Oryzias latipes: one gene and its partner. The protein of the gene in region 1 purifies or fractionates together with the protein of each later gene. This does not show direct contact. Links are inferred from orthologs where the notes say so. Each region holds a gene or a part of one and is shown on either strand. Other genes may lie near its edges.

Region 1 (4,283 bases):
TGGTGCCTAGTCCATCCCTGAGGCAAAAAATTGAGTCCCGTCGATGTAAAACTTTTCCATTTTAAACCAAAGATAATGTGATGTGATTCACAGCAGCACAGTAGTAAGAGGTTCTGGATGTGAGTCCAGGAAATGCTCCAAGCTTGGCCAGATTGCTGGAGGCAGTCCTTAAGTGAACGCAACACAGTATCTAAATGTATAGATGACACACTTTCCAGTTTCACCACAATTCTACAGAACTACTGCCGCAATCTGAGCCAATGTTGCTAGAATATCGCATTTAATTTTTTGTAAAATCTGCATGAAAATAACATATTTTGGTAAATTACAGTGCATGCAAAGGAGTCCAAACTTGTTAGAGGGCAACCTAATTACATTTCTTTGCATGATTGCACAGATTTCTATTTCTCAGAGCCTCCCAAGGAGTGGGAAAGTACGGCACTGATTTACAAGAGCTTGTTAAATTTTACTCGTACTGCATGAAAAACTTCCACGTGATGGTTGGTGCAAAGGGAGAACATTTACTGATCAAGTCTTGTGACTATGACCATTCAAAGTATCAAACCTGCTAAAATTCACAGAAAAAAAAAATTAAACAACTATACATATTGCCCTTGAGACTCCTGAATGTTGCTAGGAACACTTACCCCAGCATCATCGTCACTTTGGATAAGCTGCGAGTGTCCAAACAGCCGCCTCTTCAACATGGGCTCCAGCAGAGTCAGGTACACCATGTAGAGCAGTAGCAGGCCCAAAATGGACAGGTACATGATGATGGTAAACTAAATACATGAGAAGGGAGAACAAAAAACATACTCAGAAATCATAGCATGCCTCACATTTAACGTTGAGCAAGTATTTTCCATAACCTTGAATTTGATCAAATTAAACTTCTTTATATATTTATATTTAACTATAAATATAAATACTTTTCATACAAAAGTAGTGCAAAGTCAGAAACTGTCACATATAAAAAATAAAATACCCCTGTTGTTTATATGCAAGATAAAAAGGGAGAATACCAGCTTTTAAAAAATCTACAAATTAGTATTTTAAAAAAAAGGAAATGTTTGCAATGTAAAGAATAATCAAAAACTTTATACATCCTTAATCTGAACCCTCTGTGTCCTAAATTGGGTCACAGGGGTTGCTGGAGTCCATCCCAGCAAACATGGGGTTAAAGGCAGAAAAGATCTACATTTTTAGGGTACATACAGAGACAAACCAGCACACACACAGTCTGAGAGACACTTTATAAAAAATAAATCAATAATCTGACTTCACCTTTATAGTCCCTGAGCTCCTCTCTTCATATTTACATTCACAGCGCAGACAGTAGGCCTCCACATCTTTGCCGTCCACTGGCATCGGTTCCACCACATGGAGGCAGTTACTTAAGAGACAAAATCATCCATATGATAAAGATTCAGCAAGGGGGGGGGGGGAACATACAATGGCATTTGGTTACATACCAGTCTTTGAGAGACACATTTTGTTTGTAGATATGTCCCTCATAGCCTCTGTAAGGTGGACAGATACACTTACAGCGAACGTCTTCGGAATTCTGTAAAAGTTACGTCAAGCAGGTGTTTAAGTTTTAAATGCAGCAGTCGATTGAACTCAGACATTTGTTTTGACATGTTTGTGTGATGTTATCACAGCAGCTTTAAGAATATCAAAAAATTAAGTTTATAACTTGTAGTTTACCAAAAAATAGATTTGCAAAGCAATAACAGGATAAAATAATACAACTGAAGTAATTACTATTTATTGAAATAGTTCAAAATCTTGCTAAAATAAAAATCTTGGATCTTAAAGATTTTTAATGTAAAAATGAGTGTTTTCCTAAGACTGCATGGTGGCTTTAGATCTTCTTAGCTAAAACCAACGATGTTCTGGAATAATTACATACACAGTATGAGTTTCTATGATGAAACAACATGCTGCCAAAAGAAATCAAAAGACTTGAGACTAAAAACACAGGAATCCAGCTTCCAGGTACATAACACCAAAGTAGCAACAAAAAAAGTTTCCAAAATAATAGTTCTGATGGATGTTGGCAGCATTTCTGTTTCGCTTTGGTGTACCTGTTTATGTTTTTATTATTATTCTTCTGACATATAAATGTAGTTTTGAAATAGCAAAGATTCCCTTTAATGTCTGCTTTTATGAAAGAAAAAGGGGGGACAGTTGTTTTCTGGCGTTTGCTGTGTTTAATAAAGGTAGATTTTCTGTAACTCGGTAGAGAAGGAAAAAAATGTTCAACTGATCAGAAATAGCACATTTATTAACATTTTAGTAAGGAAGTCTTAACAGAAATTAATCATGACAACATTTTTATCTCTATCTATCTATCTATCTATCTATCTATCTATCTATCTATCTATCTATCTATCTATCTATCTATCTATCTATCTATCTATCTATCCATCTATCTATCTATCTATCTATCTGACCAAGCACGCGAGCAACAAAAAGGGGAAGGTGTCTGTCGCTGACAGAATTTTAAGACGTGTAATTCCTGTTTAGTAAGCTACTCGCCCATGTTTTGTGTGCTGTCAGCTAGCATTAGCCTAGCATTAGCCTTACCTTTGCTGCTGCTGCTTGGCTCAGCAGCACCAAACACGCCAAACACGCAGCCTCGGCAGCTAACACCAGCTTCATCGTCGCAGTAACTCAAACCCTGCTGGACTCTTTTTGCGGGACAAAGGAGAAAAGACGAATGCACCCTAAGAAACGACGCCGTCCGCCGTAGAGCCAAGTAGAGGATAAGCAGATTCTACATCAGCTGACTTGTCATTTCCGGAAATAGAGGCTCACTTCCGCAAACATTAAGACGCGGACATTTGAAATATTACATTTTTTTTTATTTCAAGAACTATTGAGGTTTACAATTTGTCTTTTGAATTTGAAACATGACATATTTAGGGGATTTTAAAAATATTTTTACTTTGTACTTATTAGTTTCTATGTTTTTATATAAATCATGTTTGTTAAACTGCCATGATCATGTACGAAAAATACAACAGAATGAGATGGAGATCTAAAATGACTGACGACAGCCGTCTAAACCCGTCTTCCACTTAAAGGGTTTATTTATTTTGGTGAAAATTTTACAAAGTACTGCTTATTTTTAAAGAAGTAACTTTAAAAAGTATCTTGCACACAACACAGATTTACTACATATTTATTTTTAAAAAAAGTCATCACATTTGAAGCAAAGTTTTTAATAATTGTCTAAAATAAAAAAAAGCTTAACCTTAACTGATTTTGTTTTTTATGTTTAATTTGTTACTTGGTCTATTTTTTGTGCTGCATAAGCTTTCCTATATTTGTATTTTCTTTAAAAAATGCACCTTGTTTTGGCTAAATAATGTGTTGCAAGTTAAATCAAGTAATGATTTATTTGGTGTTTTTCTTAAGCAGACAAATATAGACAAACAGTTGCATACTAAACTCTAATGTCAAATGAAATTTGTGCACACTAAACAATAAGGTTCTTTTCTGGTAATTAAGGAAATGATGAATATGAGTCCTATCTTTATTTACAATTTTATTAGATGTACAAAACCATAAAATATACATACACATCGCATCTAAGATGGGTCAGTAGCTCAGCAGCATTTTACAGGACTTTTCATAGAAACAGACATGACATGCTTTAGTATCTCAGGGTGTCTACAGAAGCATCTTTGACTGACGTGAAAGCAGATAATAGCTGGAAAAGCTTAGGGGTTTATAGAACCATTACGTTTATCCAGACACCTTGGAAAACCAAACACATGGGTCATCAACATCTGTAGCTAAAACTCTCAACACTTTTTTTACATCATATACAATACAGTCATCAAAATAAATGCTTTTGTGGCGAGACTACCTCTTTTCAGTGCTAGTGTTCCCAAGAAAACAGTTGTGCTGTATTAGTTTCTTACATTTTGCAGTACTTCTGTCATAAATGCATCAAATCCAGTAAAATAAGGCTGTTAAAACTAGATATACAATCTATGTACAGTACCATTGACATTCAATATATGTCTGTTCGCCCACCAAGTTTGTCTCTCCTTGTGGTGCAATAGATTAAAGTCCCATTCTGTCAGCATGTATTCAGCACTCCTGAAATTAAGGTATGTACTTCAGTCCTGCGCTGACGTTTCAATAGCTTTTTTAATTTTACTTAAGGGATTTGCTTTGATTTGTTTTTCATATTCGTCGACATGACATCCAACCAATCTGTGTGACAGTCCCTTGAAAATCCTGGTGCAGCATTTATGGGCGAAGGAATG
Region 2 (3,652 bases), on another chromosome or scaffold:
ACCAGCCAGTTCATGCAGGATCAGAGAGCCCATGCAACACAATGTGTACATGTGTTTGTGAGCCTCCCATCGGGTAGAATGTGAGACGAGGGCGTGAGGGATCCTTCAGCACGTCCTACCCTTCAGAACAATAAACTTACCCGTTGTGTGTGACTAGGCACTGGCGCAGCCCCAGCTTTCTGAAGATGTCTACCACAATCTCCATGGGGGTGTGGTCAGTGACCGTGAAGGGGCTCATGTCCAGTATGGAGCGCAGTTTGAGGGGCCGAGGGCTGTCAGCAGGCAGTGAAGGCGCATGCTGGGTAAAGTACACCCTGGAGTTAAGTAAAATGCCTTCCTGTTTCCGACGAGCGTTTTCTATAAAGATTTATAAAAAGAAAACAAAGGTAACTTTTTCAAAAATCTTGGATTTTGTATGTTTTGTATGCTTTTCTCCTCCCCTACCTATAGCAATGGTGATGTCCCTGCGCAGAGCAAAGCCCACCAACCTCTGCGACTCCTTGGACACTATGACTGGGAAACCATTGTAACTGGTTTCATTGATGACACTCTGCAGCTCTTCCACCGTCAGGTCATCCTGAGTCAGGACTGCCAAAGGCGGGTCGTTGCGCCGCGGTCTCATCACCTCTCTGGCTAGCGTGGTGTGTGTAAACTCCTCTTTGGCATCCAGGAACGGGTATCCGTTCAGGCGAATGTGAGCCTCGTAGATCCCTTCTCGGCCAAACGCGTCGCCCACCCATTTGCTGGTCATGACGGCTGCCATGAGGGGGACGATGTACTCCAACCCACCCGTCAGCTCGAACACAATAACAACCAGAGAGACGGTCATACGTGTCACACCACCTACCAGGAAAGAAAATCATTCCATTTTTACATTGAGAGTCAAATTTCTCAACGATTTTCTAACTTTTTTCTCCAGTTAAACCATTACTTGGTAATTTTTGGACTTACCCAAACAGGCCGCGGCTCCCACCATGGCGTAAAGCCCTGGAGTGATGCAGTCCGCCCCCACCTCACACCATTCTTTGAACAGAAACCAGTCGTGGTGGTAATAAGCCAGCTGCTCCACGGCAATGCCAACAATTCGGCCTGCGATGGCGCCGATGGCCATGCTGGGGATGAACAAACCTGATGGTACCTGAGGATGACAGATGGTGATTGGACTTTGGGAGAGTCATGCAGGGTAAAACTATATCATACTTCTGTCTCCTGGGATCACCTTTAGCCCAAATGTGAAGATGGTCATAATGATTTTAAAAATGAGTGCCAGGCAGAGCTGCCACATGGCGGAGTAGACCCCGGGCTCCGCCGGCTGATTTGGATCGTCGGTGAAAGCTTTGCTGCCGTTCATCTGGCTGCGGTACTTGCAGAGCTGAGAAGTTTCCAGAGGGCCGCAATCGGTGAACAACTCCTTGATCAGCTCACTGGTGTTCTGACGGGTGTAAGGGTTCGGAAAAGCCACTATTGCTGTAATGGCCGCCACCAGGATCACCTCCAATACTGGGTACTTCCCTTCAAAATAAAATCCAAAGCAAGTCAGACAAATGATACACTTGCAAATCTCAGTAAATTTTGACAAAGTAATTTCCTTTAACTCACACACTAAGGGATCTCGACTGTGAACTGCTACATTTCCTCTCTCTATTAGAAAATTCTGCATTTTTTGTGCCTGTTAAGACTTTTCATTGATTTTTGTAACAACATTTTGAGGCAGATAGCTGGTCTTCCTCTGTCTACTTCCTCTGAGGTTTCAGTCGTTCCTCTCCACTGTCACCTCTTGCATGTTCAGTTTGAAGAGGGTTATGGAAGAAAATTCTTAAAGATTTTGCATAGTAAATGACTTCTATTCAAAAGAATCAAAGGTTGTTTAATTTTATGAAGTTATAGTTAAAATCCAATTAGTTGTCACACGTGTGAAATTTGTTCTTGTCCCATCCTTGTCCCATCCCCTTAGGGCAATGGTCCCCAACCTTTTTAACGCCACGGACTGCTATGACGTCAGACAAAGTTTTCACGGACCAGTCTTTAAGATGCAGCAACGCTACGACAAAGGAGGAACAGAGACGTGACAAAACGTACTTTGAACTTTTGTTTTGACACGCATGACATTGTACATCGCATAGGTGTCATCATCCTCTCCCCTTCCCCACTCTCATGGTGCTAAAAAGAAGTACTGTCTATTAAATGTAGCTTTCTTTTTTTGGAAGTCAAATGCTCCTCTTCTGTCTCCTGGCTGGACCTTTTCCCCCTTGGCACAGAAACTTTCCAAAGACGTTTGTTTTTTACTCATTTTGCTCATTTTCGCTTATTTTAGCGGTAACCTATCACGTGACCGAGAAGAGCCCCATGGCCTGCTTCAAGAGTGACATAGACGGATGGAGAAAATCGGGCAATTTTTCAACATAAAACATCTTTCAGATTCTGAAATAAATAAAACGGAATGTAAGATATTTATTCTTTCTGTGCGGCCTGGTACCAAATGACCCACGGACCGGTACCGTTCCGTGGCCTGGGGGTTGGGGACCGCTGCCCTAGGGGAGCGGTGAGCTGAAGACAAAGCTGTGCTTGGGAAACATTTGGTCGTTTAACCCCCAAATCCAACCCCTTAATGGTGAGTGTCAAGCAGTATTACATTTGGGCATGTTTATAGTCTTTGGTATGACTCAGCCATGGTTTTGAACCCTCGACCCTCCGGCCTCAGGACAGACATAAGAATAAATTAAATGTCTGATCCCTGATTGGGTTATAACATCCAATTTTCGATTGAGTCATTAACCACATCAACAGGCCCAATTTCCGTTCACGTGATCGGATTCTGACATCCCTATTAATGACAGATTGTCTTCTCACCGAAGCGCGTGGACTTGCGCCGCCGGCACCAGGCGATGTTGGCTCGGATGAAAAAGGCTCCCCAGAGCCCCCCAAAAACTCCCAGGAGAATGAAGGGAATGAGCTCAAACAGGTACCATGGTGTGTGGTACTCCACATAGAACAGCACCAGGCGGCTGTTTCCGAACGGGTTAATGGAGCGCAGGACGAAGGCCGCCACTAGGGCAGCAAAGAAGGAGCGCCACAGAGTTTTGAGTGGAAAGTAGTAACTCACCTGGATAAAAGACAGGAACATTTTTGATTGTTAAATATGCAGTTGTTAGCATAATGTTTTTTGGTTTTTTTACAATAAAGAATCAAATCTGCTGCACCTCCTCCAAACTAAAGAGAACACCTCCAATTGGTGCTCCAAAAGCAACAGACACACCAGCAGCTGATGCAGCAGAGAGGACCTGAGAAAGTGAAACACGTTAATGATGAAAAAACATGCAGCAGTAAAACGAGGGAGAATTGAAAACACCAACACACACGTTACCTCTCGTTTCTTTGCCTCGTTCTTGCTGTATTTGGGGAAGAGGTAGGAGAAGATGTTCCCACAGCAGCAGGCCACATGGACCAGAGGACCCTCTTTACCCAGGCTAAGGCCAGATGCTACAGCCAGAACCAGGGTTATGGTCTTGATCATCAGCGTCCACTTCCCCAGGTAACCCCGGATGATAAACCCACTCAGGATTGTCTTGATCTGGGGACAGAGGAGAGTGGGCAGTGAGGAGGAGCAGGACAGAGGTCAAATAAAAGCTCAAGTAGAAGGTTGAGTTTCACG

Evidence for each region. The genes of interacting proteins can lie anywhere in the genome.
Region 2: the proteins of tmem9b (region 1) and clcn3 purify together in Homo sapiens (co-immunoprecipitation; 3 studies listed by BioGRID and IntAct, counting the BioPlex papers as one, with this or other methods). This does not show direct contact. The link is inferred for Oryzias latipes from reciprocal best matches to the Homo sapiens genes TMEM9B and CLCN3.

What each region holds. Positions count from the first base shown.
Region 1 is NC_019861.2:19,775,377-19,779,659, forward strand, and holds the start of tmem9b (transmembrane protein 9B), read right to left. Parts: upstream 2,816-4,283; 5' UTR 2,665-2,815; coding exon 2,590-2,664; intron 1,565-2,589; coding exon 1,473-1,564; intron 1,394-1,472; coding exon 1,285-1,393; intron 783-1,284; coding exon 648-782; intron 1-647. Other genes in the region: scube2 (signal peptide, CUB and EGF-like domain-containing protein 2), read right to left, coding at 4,267-4,283. UniProt on the Homo sapiens protein: Enhances production of pro-inflammatory cytokines induced by TNF, IL1B, and TLR ligands. Has a role in TNF activation of both the NF-kappaB and MAPK pathways.
Region 2 is NC_019876.2:18,924,809-18,928,460, forward strand, and holds part of clcn3 (H(+)/Cl(-) exchange transporter 3), read right to left. Parts: intron 3,572-3,652; coding exon 3,365-3,571; intron 3,282-3,364; coding exon 3,201-3,281; intron 3,104-3,200; coding exon 2,851-3,103; intron 1,513-2,850; coding exon 1,220-1,512; intron 1,139-1,219; coding exon 952-1,138; intron 844-951; coding exon 445-843; intron 358-444; coding exon 141-357; intron 1-140.